Rattus norvegicus: one gene and its partner. Each later gene encodes a partner of the first gene's protein in a complex. Links are inferred from orthologs where the notes say so. Each region holds a gene or a part of one and is shown in the gene's direction. Other genes may lie near its edges.

Evidence for each region. The genes of interacting proteins can lie anywhere in the genome.
Region 2: B9d1 (region 1) and Tmem107 share a complex: the UniProt entries of both Homo sapiens proteins name them as parts of the tectonic-like complex. The link is inferred for Rattus norvegicus from reciprocal best matches to the Homo sapiens genes B9D1 and TMEM107.

The regions. Positions count from the first base shown.
Region 1 is NC_086028.1:46,685,029-46,688,628, forward strand, and holds the start of B9d1 (B9 domain-containing protein 1), read left to right. Parts: upstream 1-1,119; 5' UTR 1,120-1,178; coding exon 1,179-1,241; intron 1,242-2,313; coding exon 2,314-2,382; intron 2,383-3,600. UniProt on the Homo sapiens protein: Component of the tectonic-like complex, a complex localized at the transition zone of primary cilia and acting as a barrier that prevents diffusion of transmembrane proteins between the cilia and plasma membranes.
Region 2 is NC_086028.1:54,267,646-54,275,848, forward strand, and holds Tmem107 (transmembrane protein 107), read left to right. Parts: upstream 1-3,550; 5' UTR 3,551-3,681; coding exon 3,682-3,768; intron 3,769-3,945; coding exon 3,946-4,013; intron 4,014-4,071; coding exon of another isoform or gene 4,072-4,095; coding exon 4,096-4,196; coding exon of another isoform or gene 4,197-4,313; intron 4,314-5,029; coding exon 5,030-5,126; coding exon of another isoform or gene 5,127-5,321; coding exon 5,322-5,391; 3' UTR 5,392-5,875; downstream 5,876-8,203. UniProt on the Homo sapiens protein: Plays a role in cilia formation and embryonic patterning. Requires for normal Sonic hedgehog (Shh) signaling in the neural tube and acts in combination with GLI2 and GLI3 to pattern ventral and intermediate neuronal cell types.

The DNA.
Region 1 (3,600 bases):
GAGGGGGTCTAGAATCTCTGCTTGTAAGAAGGACTCAAGGCTCTAAGCTAAAAGAATTTCTTACACTCTTGCACAGTGGCCCACCTGGGAGGCTGTGACCACATGCGTTTCCTCTTCCTCACAGGTGACTTTGGGAATCCCACCAACTGACTTCCAAGCTAAGAGCTTGTGTGATGACCTGGAGTCTGCAGGCTGAGCTCCCTAAAGTATACACATCTGCATCCATTCGTTTCCAGGCTAATCATTAATGTGCTCTCTAGTGTTTCCTTATACGTTCTGCATGTGAAGCCTGATTCTGCAGCTAAATTGCTGCAACGAATATGGCTTAAACTACCTTCCGGGTCTGGATTTCAGTCACTTCCTCCAGAAAAGAGATGTTTTCTTTTCAATGTTTATTCATTAAAGAAGTCGTTCCCAAGTATTTTCCATTGGCCGGACCAGGACCAGGCAATGACGGCCCCCAGAGTCGAGCTGGGGATCTAGAGGCAGAGACTAGCACTAAGCCACTCTGAATTAGACAGTGATAGAGTAAGTGCAGTTGGATCCAAGCGCTAACAGATGCGTCTACTGAGGATGCTGGTGACTTGGGATCAAGCTCTGATATCCCTGAGCTGCCAGTGATTCTCCAAAAATGGGTGATTGGTTCCGTGGGCTCCAGCTTCTCATGCAGGAGCCAGGACTTGGACAAGTGGATTCTCCAAGTTTCAATGACAAGAGCCTCAAAGGGCTAAAGGGCACATCCTTCACCTGAGGCAATGCACTGCGAGATGCCCGCTGGACCACACTGCGCACTAGTCTCCCCAACTGTGGCGCCTGTGCGGTCGCTGCATGTGGCCACAGCGACATCTCCTGGAGAGAGGTAACTCTAGCACGTGACCTTCCGCGAGCCTGAGTCCCGGTGCTGCTTCTCAGTATACAGCTTTCCGGCCTGCGAGCTTCAAGCATGGCCAGGAGAGTGAAGTCACAGTCCCTGCGGGTCCGAGGACCCGACCCTGGGGTTTAGGTTTCGCGCGACGGAAACGGAGGACGGGCCCCTGGGTCGTAAACAACACTGCGCCTGCGCACTCTTGCCTTTACGCGAACTCGTCACCGCTTGAGAAATTTGTCCTAGATGAGTTGCCATCTGTTTCCAAGACAACCCAGGAGCCTCCTGGCAAGGGCGCGCGGCCCAGCCTGCAATGGCTGCAGCAAGTCCCAGTGTCTTCCTGCTCATGGTCAACGGGCAGGTAGAGAGCGCACAGGTAAGCAGCCACTTACTCCTCCCGTTCCTCTCCCTGGGCTCTCTCCTCTGCTCTTAGAGAGTCAAGCCATTGCTCTGAGCGTCTCAAATAATTGGGAAGGCGAACCAGCATTTGAGAACCTTGGTGCCAGGTTGATGGACCGGACAAGCACGAGTGAAAACTGACCTCGAGGTGTTGAGCTGGTACCAAAGTCACACTATGGTCTCTTGCTTGGCTCCTGTTTACTTGGTTGAGTGATGGTCTAGAACTAATGGGATTCAGCCGATCATTTAACAGCTAGGAACTTAGCGGAAGGCAGTGGCCAAGTGGGATTTGACCCGGGTCTGACAGACAGAACTTTGCTACATTCTTCTTCTGGGCTGCTTGTTGAAAATGCTCATTATTCCTACATGTTCTGAGGTTTGGCTGAGATGATTTAAGTTCTACCAGGTCTGAAGCTCAGTAGGTGTTCCTGCCTTCCCATTCATTGGTACTGCATCCTCCGTTTTCCAGTAAGTGGATGCCTACCTGGGCTGCTTCCTCTGGACACCTTCCTTCAGCTTCTGCTCTGGGCCTTCCCTTCTTCCCGGCCCTCAGTTCTAGCCATGTTCTTTGGCCCTGTAGCTTCTTGGGTTCCACTGTAGCTTCTTGGGTTCCACGGCAGCTCATTTCTGTAGCTCTAACTTATGCCCCGAGGCATGAAACCCGTTCCTTCCTCAATCTAACAGGGCTTGTCAGATAGACATTGGTTTCCTGGATGCAGAAATGCAGAGGAGCGTTGGGAGCCAAGCGATGATCCTTAAGCCAGCTAGAGAGTAAAGAATTCCCTGAGGGTGAATTCTGAAAGATGGGCAAGGGGCCTGCCACATGATGGACTGGGAAAGACAGAAAACAGAGCAAAATAACCCGTGATAATTGGCAGTCTGGGACTAACCCCAGTTTCATTTCCATTCCCTGTCCCTGCTGAAACCCATGTCCACATCCTCAACCCCAGATTTCTCATGTTCATGATTCCTACCCACTGCACCTGCCTAGCTAGTGTGTGGGTCCAGTTTGCACTTTCTAGACCAAAGCCTGTATACTTTTCTCTCAGTTTCCAGAGTACGATGACCTCTACTGCAAGTACTGCTTTGTGTACGGCCAGGACTGGGCCCCAACAGCGGTGAGTTGGACTCATGGGCCTCCCCTAGAGCTCTTGTGATTCTTAAAGTTTTCTCATATGCTTCTATTCCAGACCCAACAGGTAGACACTAAGGTCAGAGATGACCCAAACATGAGCTCCTTTCTAGCAAAGCTAGTTTACAGTATACTACGGGGTTCACTCATCTGTGTTGGTGGCAGTCAAGAATAAGAAGTGGCAGCCTTCAAAAAAGAAAGAAAAAAGAAAAAAAAAAAAAAAGACGTGGCAGGCTCTGGAGAACCAGCTGCCAATGGCTATGGACACCCATCAGCCAATACCCCCCCCCCCCAAAATGTGGCCCCTTCTCAGACAACAAAAACCAACCAGAACAAAATAAAGGGTCTGTTCTCGAGGTTTTGAGTTCTTTACCACAGGAAGGGGCTGCAGTGAAGACCACCACCACACCATACTTCATTGTTTGCATAGCCTAACCTTCACAATAGTTTAAAAAGCCAGCCAAACATGATAGCATCTGCCTGTAATCCAACACAGAAGGCTGAGGCAGGAGTGTCTCTAGGAATTCAAGGTCAACTCTGGGCTACATATAGGAGGACCACACAACTGGAAAAAATAAAAAATCCAACGTCAGGGTTGGGGATTTAGCTCAGTGGTAGAGCGCTTGCCTAGCAAGCGCAAGGCCCTGGGTTCGGTCCCCAGCTCCGAAAAAAAAGAAAAAAAAAATGTCCAACGTCTTTGAGCCAGAGTTTCTTCATCTGTACCACAGACATGTTAATACTTTTTGGGTTTTCTCTTATGATACTTGCATAGAGATTAATTCTATTTTAAGTTGTGTGTCTATATATCTGTGTATGGGTATGAATGCAAGTGGAGGCCACAGGTCAGATCCCCTGGAGCTGGAACTGCAGGTGGCTGTGAGCTACCTTTGGGGCTGGAGAAAATTACTGAACAGAATATGTACTTTTGCAGAGGACCCCAGCTTGATTCTCAGCACCCACACTGTGGCTCACAACCATTTATAACTTAGTGACTATTATTGAGTCCCCTGGGAGTGACCAATGTCTGACAGAGTCCCCATCTTTGTGGAGAACATCTGTACTTGTTAAGGAGACACTACGTAGGATACGTTCTGTGCTACGTTCAAGGACAGGTGGAATGAAGAGGGAGTAGATCAGGAGCTAGAGTGTACAGGTAACTAGGAGGGTAGAATCTAGACCAAGGCATTTCAAGGGCGGGTAGAGA
Region 2 (8,203 bases), about 7.6 Mb from region 1:
ATGCTGTTTCCGCAGATCTCCAAGCGGCTGGCTCCTGCCCTTAGATCTTTGGAAATCCTCCAACGCAAGCCCGAGCCTTTCCTCACTTAGTCCTCTGACACAGCTTCTTCTGCCTGGAGATAGTCGCCAGCTACGTCGTCACCGAGCTCAGCCTCACAAGTCACAGGCAGGGAAAAGACTCGAACTCTTGCGTTCTTTCATTTTGTCTGTGCCCTTAAGCGCAGTGACATATTTTACAGCACCCTGACTTCTATGATGGAGAATACCCCCCCCCCCAAAAAAAAGTAAATAAATGTAGCTAGGAATGGTGATGAACACTTTTGAACCCAGAGGCAGGAGGGTCTCTGTGAGTTCGCGGGCGGACCAGCCTGATCTGCATAGTGGATTCTAGGAAAGATGGAGCTATATATGAGACTATGTCTCAAAACCAAACCAAACCAAACCAACAATGTTTGTTAGCTGTTAGCCCTGGCTGTCTTCAGTGTGCCACCATATGGAGCTAAGAGGTGACTTGATTAAACTAATTAACTGACGTATCTTTTTTGAGACAGGATCTCACTATGTACCTTTTTTTTTTCTTTTTTTCGGAGCTGGGGACCGAACCCAGGGCCTTGCGCTTGCTAGGCAAAGCGCTCTACCACTGAGCTAAATCCCCAACCCCCTTACTATGTACCTTACAGACCTGTCTGCCTCTGCCTCCTGAGTGCTGGAACTAAAGCTATGAGCCACCAGGCCTCACAATTTCTTTTAAATATTGTGTATAAGTGTGTGCATTGAGTGTGAGTCTGTGTGTGTGTATGAATGTGTGTGTGCATTGAGTGTGAGTCCGTGTGTGTGTGTTTGTGTATGTATGAACGTGTGTGTATGTATGAATATGTGTGTGTGCATTGAGTGTGAGTCCGTGTGTGTGTTGAGTGTGGTGTGTGTGTTTGTGTGCATTGAGTGTGAGTCTGTGTGTGTGTATGCATGCGTGTGTGTATGAGTGTGCTGTGTGTGTATGAGTGTGTGTGCATTGAGTGTGTGTGTGAATGTATGTGTGTGCATTGAGTGTTAGTTCGTGTGTGTATGTATATGAGTGTGTGTGCATTGAGTGTGAGCCCGTGTGTATGTGTGTGCATTGAGTGTGAGTCTGTGTTGTGTGTTGAGTGTGTTTGTGCATTGAGTGTGAGTCCATATGTATGTGTGTATGAGTGTGTGTGTGCATTGAGTGTGTGTTGTGTGTGTTTGTGTGCAGCTTCCAAAAGCGGGCACCGAATCTCTAGAGTTACAAGAGGTTGTAAGCAACACAATACGGGTGCTGGGAACTGAATTTAACAAGAGTGTTCTGTGATCTTTGTTTCAACAGAGGATTTCTCTGTGTAGCCTTGGCTGTCCTGCTTTGTAGAGCAGGCTCGCCTCGAACACAGAGATCTGACTGCCTCTGCCTCCTGAGTGCTGGGATTAACACCTGGTGCTGGGATAACCACTGAGCCACCTCTACAGTTTGTTTGTAAAGTCATTTTAGTTCTTTGTTTTATTGAACCGACTAACTGAGCACGATCTCGAATTTCTGACCCTCTTTCCTCTACCTCCCAAGTGTTGGGACTGTAGGTGTTTTCCCCTTATCCAGCTTAAGATTCATATTTATATGAAAAAGTTACTATAAAATTTCACCATGTAGGAGCTCGGTAGGAAAGCAGTTTTTTCGTGTGGTCCAGACTCTGCATTTGATTCCCAGTGCAGCACAGGCAGAAGTTTCAATATAAAGGGGGAATTTCAATAAATAAGAACATTTAATGCTACAAATGACTTAGAATGCCACTCTATGCATCGATGAAGATATACTATAAGACTCAGAAGGGAAAGTGGAAGTATAGCTCAGTGGAGGGTGCTTACCTATTACCTATATGCAAAAGCTTATCTCCAATACTGAAGAAAAGAATCAGGACATTGGGGGTGGAGAGATGGCTCAGCAGTTAAGAGCACTGACTGCTCTTCCAGAGGTTCTGAGTTCACAGCAACCACATGGTGGCTCACAACCATCTATAATGGGATCTGATGCCCTCTTCTGGTGTGTCTGAGGACAGCTACAGTGTATTCATATATAATAAATAAAAAATTAAAAAAATCTACGTTGTTGTTATTTAAGTTACAAATACTATACTGTTTGTCAAACATTCCACCAGTCTTTTATAATGAAAGTGTGAGTGTGTGTGTGGGTGGGGGGTGTCTTTTGTCTGGTTTGGGATCTCATGTTAGGTTAGGTTTATCCCCCACTCAGTGGGAAGAACTCCAGCCTGTCTTTCATGACCTTTAAGTAAAAAACGTTGACTCTGCATTCTAAATGTTTTTACTCACTGGTTTAGGTAAGGGGACCCCATGTATTACTTTAGGGAGACAGAAACATTTCCTCTCTCTCTCCCCCTCCCCCCAATTCCTTGAAACGAAAATTTAGGAATTATCTATTTCAAAACTTTCCTTTGATATTATTCTAGTGTCACCCTTTAAAGTTTTTAAATTTACAGCATACATTACCTTGCAGGGTTTTGTTGGGGTTTTGTGTGTGTGTGTGTGTGTGTGTGTGTGTGTATTTGTTTGTTTTGTTTTGTTTGTTTGTTTTGTTATCAGTCTCTCTGCCTAGAATATAAACTGGAGGGACTTTATCGATGTATTCTGAGTCAAGCACAGTGCCTGGCATCTGGGAGACATCAGATATTTGTTGAATGAATGAAATCCCTCTGGGTCTTGTCTTTTAGGCTGGTTTAGAGGCACACACACACACACACACACACACACACACACACACACACACACAGAGAAATGAGAGAAGAGGGGGTGCAAAAGGAGGAGGTTCATTGTCAATGGGACTTGATTGTGAACTGGGATGGTAGTGAGAACTTTCCGATCGCAGGCATTTCATCCGAAGCCCCAAATCAGTCACATCACCCTAAGAAGAGGTTCTGGGTCTGTAACTGAGCAATGTCCGCGGCCTGGCAACTCAAAGCGAGAGTGAAATCGGTGGTGAATCAGCCTGGTTTAAGCCTCCCAGGGGCGCACAAGCTGTTCTAGTCCCCCACTCCATTCTTCACCTTTTCAGATCCCTTGGGATCCCGAGGAGGCTGTCACCTCATCCACCCACATCCTATTCTACCCATTCCAAGGTTGCTCATTTCTGCACTCGGCAAATCTTTCATGAAACCGAGACAAGTTATTTAGGGAGAAATTAGAGTCGTTCATCGGCAGAGGTTTGGTCTTGGGTGGGAGAGGGAGCCCTCTGACAACCAGGGGCTGTGGGGGGGGGGCGGGGAGGGCTTGGCGAGACTGTGGGGCAAAGCTCGGTGCTGAAGCTCTACTCCTTCGTTCCCTCATCTCCTGGCGCCCAAGGCAGTGAGTGGGAAGCACAGGAAAAGGGAGGATTTGGTGGTTACGGGTGCATCCTCCCGGATTCATCCCACAAGCACCAGGAGGTGAGCATCGGCTCGGGTACCTGGCCTATAGACATCTGCAGAGGGCGCAGCACTATCGCGAGACTTCCGGAGGCAGCTGCATGGCGCCTGAGGACGCAGTTACCATGGCAACCGGGCGGCGCCTGAGCACGCGGGAAGGAGGCTTAAGTAGAGAGGTCTGGCCTGCTTGCTCTGGGAGACTTGATGAGTGACCCTCCTCAGACTTCTACGGCCTCCGCTTTGGGCCCCCGAGGCCATGGGTCGGATCTCCGGGCTCGTGCCCTCTCGATTCCTGACGCTCTTGGCTCATCTGGTGATTGTCATCACTTTGTTCTGGTCCCGGGTAAGACGTGGACAGGGCGCGCGCGCGTGTCTTCTTGTCCCTCCCATTCTCACCTTAGAGTGGACCCAGCTCAGCTCAGTCCACTCCCACAGACCCACACTGGGTCCGTTGCTCCCGTCCCCCGCAACCCCATCCCTCTTTTGACATTTCTTTCTTTCTTTCTGCCCGGCTCACCAGGAAAGCAACATCCAGGCTTGCCTGCCTCTCAAGTTCACCCCGGAGGAATATGAGAAGCAGGACAACCAGTGAGCTCTTGGGGCGGGGTGAGAGTGCCAGGGTCTTCTACGCAATCCGGAAACCCAGGTCCATCACCCTTTCTCTCTGCAGACTGGTAGCAGCGCTCTGCCTCACCCTGGGCCTCTTTGCAGTGGAGCTGGCTGGCTTCCTCTCAGGAGTCTCCATGTTTAATAGCACCCAGAGCCTCCTCTGTATCCTTTCTGCCTGGCCAGCGTCCCCATGCGACATCATCACCACTCACTCTTTCCACTTCTGTAGGCCTTTTGGGCACAAGTCTCTGCCCTACGTGGCAAAGCGAATCTCTCTAGGTGAGAGGTTTTAGACAGTTTTGGGGAATTAATAGACTTCAAACCTTAAACCCTGATGTGAGCCAGGTTCTGGCGATCCATGAGTGGGAGTAAAACCACTTTATCCTGTTTGAGGAAGAGATGGATAAACATCTGTAAATCAGTGTGATTAAACAGTATTCTGTAGGAGTGTGCAAAATACAAACCATTGTGGGAACTCAAAAGGGACCAAGAAAATGAGACACATAGGAAGGTTCTCGATACCCGGGTGTGATGTTGCAAACCTTTAATCCTAGCACTAGGGAGGCAGGAGCAGGTGAATCTCTAAGTTCGAAGCCAGCTTGGCCTACATAGTGAGTTCCAAATCAGCCAGGGCTACATAGAGAGACCCTGTTTTTTAAAAAAAAAAAAAAAAAAAAAAAGATAGCCGTTGACTCTGAGTTGTGGACAAGGAGGACCAGAGCACTGGAGAAATTCCCACAGTGTATCAGACCTGTAGGTATTCTTGTGAGGCCTAGGGCATATGTGACATTAACTCCCAAAAGTGTACAGGGAGAGGTCCTATCAAAACAAACTCAGCTCTGGCCTCTTACACATAAGTGTCCACAAATTCAGAAGGCATGGCTGCCAACTCTGGTGTTTGTCTTAAGGGAAGGGAACAAGCTGAGCCCAAGTCCGAGTACTAAAGGGACCCATCACTTACCTATTATTTTCCTTGACTCTGCTGTATTTTTAAGCCATTGCAGCCCACTGTAGCGCGTCTGTGGCCCTATCTTTCTTCATATTCGAGCGATGGGAATGTACCACGTACTGGTACATTTTTGCCTTCTGCAGGTTATTTTGGAATGGAGGGTGGTGGAAAGTCTACCCCAAATCTGAAGGTTTCCCCCACCTAGACCTTTCCTGCACATGTGAAATTGGTAGAGTTTTAAAGAGTCGTACCCATCCGCTAACCCACTCACATATAAGGCTTGGAGGTTTGAGTGTTTGGGTCGGAAGGGGCTCTAAACCCACCCCCTACTTCCACAGCGCTTTTCCAGCTGTCACTGAAACTGCGTTATTCATCGCTGTCTTTGGGCTGAAAAAGAAACCCTTCTGATCACAATCCGATGAAGAGACCAAAGCCGGAAACGTGATGAACTCCCTCCCATTGCTGGAAGAAGAAAGGGAGAGGCTTCAGTTTTCTCTCGCCCTAGTCTTTTGCTCCTCCCAACTGCGTCTAAACAGAAAATGGCAATGTTGGGATAAGATCTCACAAATCTTGGGTTATAATTTTATTAGAGTTTTGTAATAAAATTCATTTTATAATAAGAGCAAGGCTTAGACTATTTGTCAGAAGACCATTGGGTAAATCAAAAGGCTGATGTAAATAAAGGCTTTTTTCTAGCCTTCTGTACGTGAGCTAGTAGCTTATGCTTCTATTTGGATTTTTACGGTACAAAATAGGCGGAAGTGAGTGGGCGGGAATATGTAAATAAGAACCTCACATAGGGCTTCTAATTTGCTGTATGTGAGCGGAGCATTATGGGAGAACTTTGTTTCTCTCTTTCTGCGCCGAATGGAAAAATAAAATATTTCAGGCGACTTGCAAATAGATATTGCTCTTGAGTTGCAATAACTATAAGTCATTGGGTTCGTGCTAAATTGTCATATTCTCACCCTTTCTTTAATATGGAATGTCTTTACTTAATTAGGAATGGGCTCCCTTTGTCCTTTATCGTCAGGAGGTTAATCCTTACCTGTTCCTCCTCTCGGAGGGCAGATAGAAAATGATGATTGGAGCTTGCATGATCTGCTGATTAGCATTTCCGTGTAATCAGGACCTGACAACATCCTGATTGCTCCTATCTGATTCTCTGACGATCATATTTATTTCGCATGTACTGACTGATAGAATTTAGGAATTTTGTCCTGTGCTCCTGAAATTTCTCCTAACACTGGTCAGAGCCATGACTTTAAGGTGCTTTTAGTAATTGTGTATATGACTGACTGATTGCTCAGACCTTATTTCTATGACAACAAGTGCCTTGCTGCTGATTGTTTGCCCAGCTTCTAGAAAGCACTCTAGGCTCGGTGTGGGGAAAGCAACCTTGGCCCCTCCTCATGCTTACCAGGAGATCCTTTCTGATGAGGCCTTAACCCTTATGACCTAAAGCGTCTCTTGCCTTCATCCCCACATTTCAATTCAATGACCTCCTTACCGTAGGCAAAGCCCTATTAACAATACTGAGAAAATAGATGTGATATGACCTATACTCAGCTTTGGGCATATAGAGACATTTCCCAGCACTCCCAGACTTGTTTAATCCTGTAAATTGTGGTACATGCTACCTCCCCTTCACCCCCCAAAAAAGAAAGATTTTAGGAGTTTAGTAGCAAAGCTTGAAGTTGTAACTTGAGAGCCACCAAAATGTTACATATGTCTCAGCTATTGCTCAGAAACTTAACTACAGCTCTGTGAGAAGCCCACACCCACACCCTTGCATGTGTCTTACTGAACTTGGAAAAAATTACTTTTTCCGGGAGCTTTACTGACAGGTTGCCAAACATAACTCTTATTTAAATTAAGCAGTGTGAACTTGCGATTAAGCAGGTTATATTTACACTGGAGACACAGCTAGCTCACCAGTGAGTGTATACTTGCTGTGCCTTGAGGCCCTCGGTGAAATCCTCAGCATTAAAAACTTAAAGAAGCCAGAACCGGTGATCATGTCCACAATCTCAGCACTCAGCATGCAGAGGCAGGAGCGCCACCCACAAGTGAATTCCACCCAGCCAGGGCTGCAGAGTAAGACCCTTTTCCCCCAACAAAGCAAGAGGACCTTGCTGCCCCTTGTAAGGATGGACAAATTGGCCCAGCTCTTGAGGTCCCCGCTGCATTCCTCCAGCATCAATGCTGTGAAGAGGGCGGTAGTTGAGCAGCTCAGGATGGAGGCTGAGCCCAACCTGAGAAATTCCCCAAGCAGCTGCAGGCTTGAAGCAGTTCTGTCAGCCGAACGCTGAGCACTATCCTCTGTTAACCGAATTGTCAAGTACAGATCCCTTTGACCCCAGAACATCTGCTCCTTTTTGTAGGCAAATCTCTCAAAGCTTTCTCAAAACACTTTTATAAGCAGTGAATTTAAGAGAGCTGAGTGCGAAGCCTGTACAAAGTTTTCTTATAACTGTCTCCTGGTTGTCAGTCCATCTCATCTACCTCGGAAATGTCACTGGCTTCTGTTTCCCAAGGTTATATGTACACGGGCTGTATGGCTTTATATACACATACAGGCTCACTTCAGCAGCACAGATACCAAAACTGGAGGACACAGAGGGTTCCGGTAGCCTCTGTGCAAGGGCAATACATTCCTCAAGCATTCCTTACCTTTCAGTGACATGTTCCTGTAATTTAAAGACACTACATACACATGTGGTGGGAAGGTAGATGTCTAAAACTTGGACAATTAAAAATATCACAATTAGGGGTTGGGGATTTAGCTCAGTGGTAGAGCGCTTGCCTAGCAAGCGCAAGGCCCTGGGTCCGGTCCCCAGCTCCGAAAAAAAAGAAAAAGAAAAAGAAAAAGAAAAAAACCACAATTAAACATGAGCTGGCTCCCCTAAAAAAATAAAATAAGTAAAAAATTTAAAAAGGTAATAGAAGTCTGGAAGGATATCGCACATCTTTAATCCCAGTATGGCTCTTTTTCAAAAAGAGAAAAGAAAGGAAGAAAGAAAGAGAAGATCAGGCAAAGGTTACATCAGTGTGGATTAGTCCTAAGATTGTTGGAACTGTGTTACATTGAAATCAGCATAATCCATTCAACAAGAAGTCATTCAGGTAACCCAGAAACCTCTACCTTCATGGTTTGTGTCTTATTCATACAAATACACAAAAGTGGCTAATAATTTCATAGAACTTTTTGTTCTGTTTT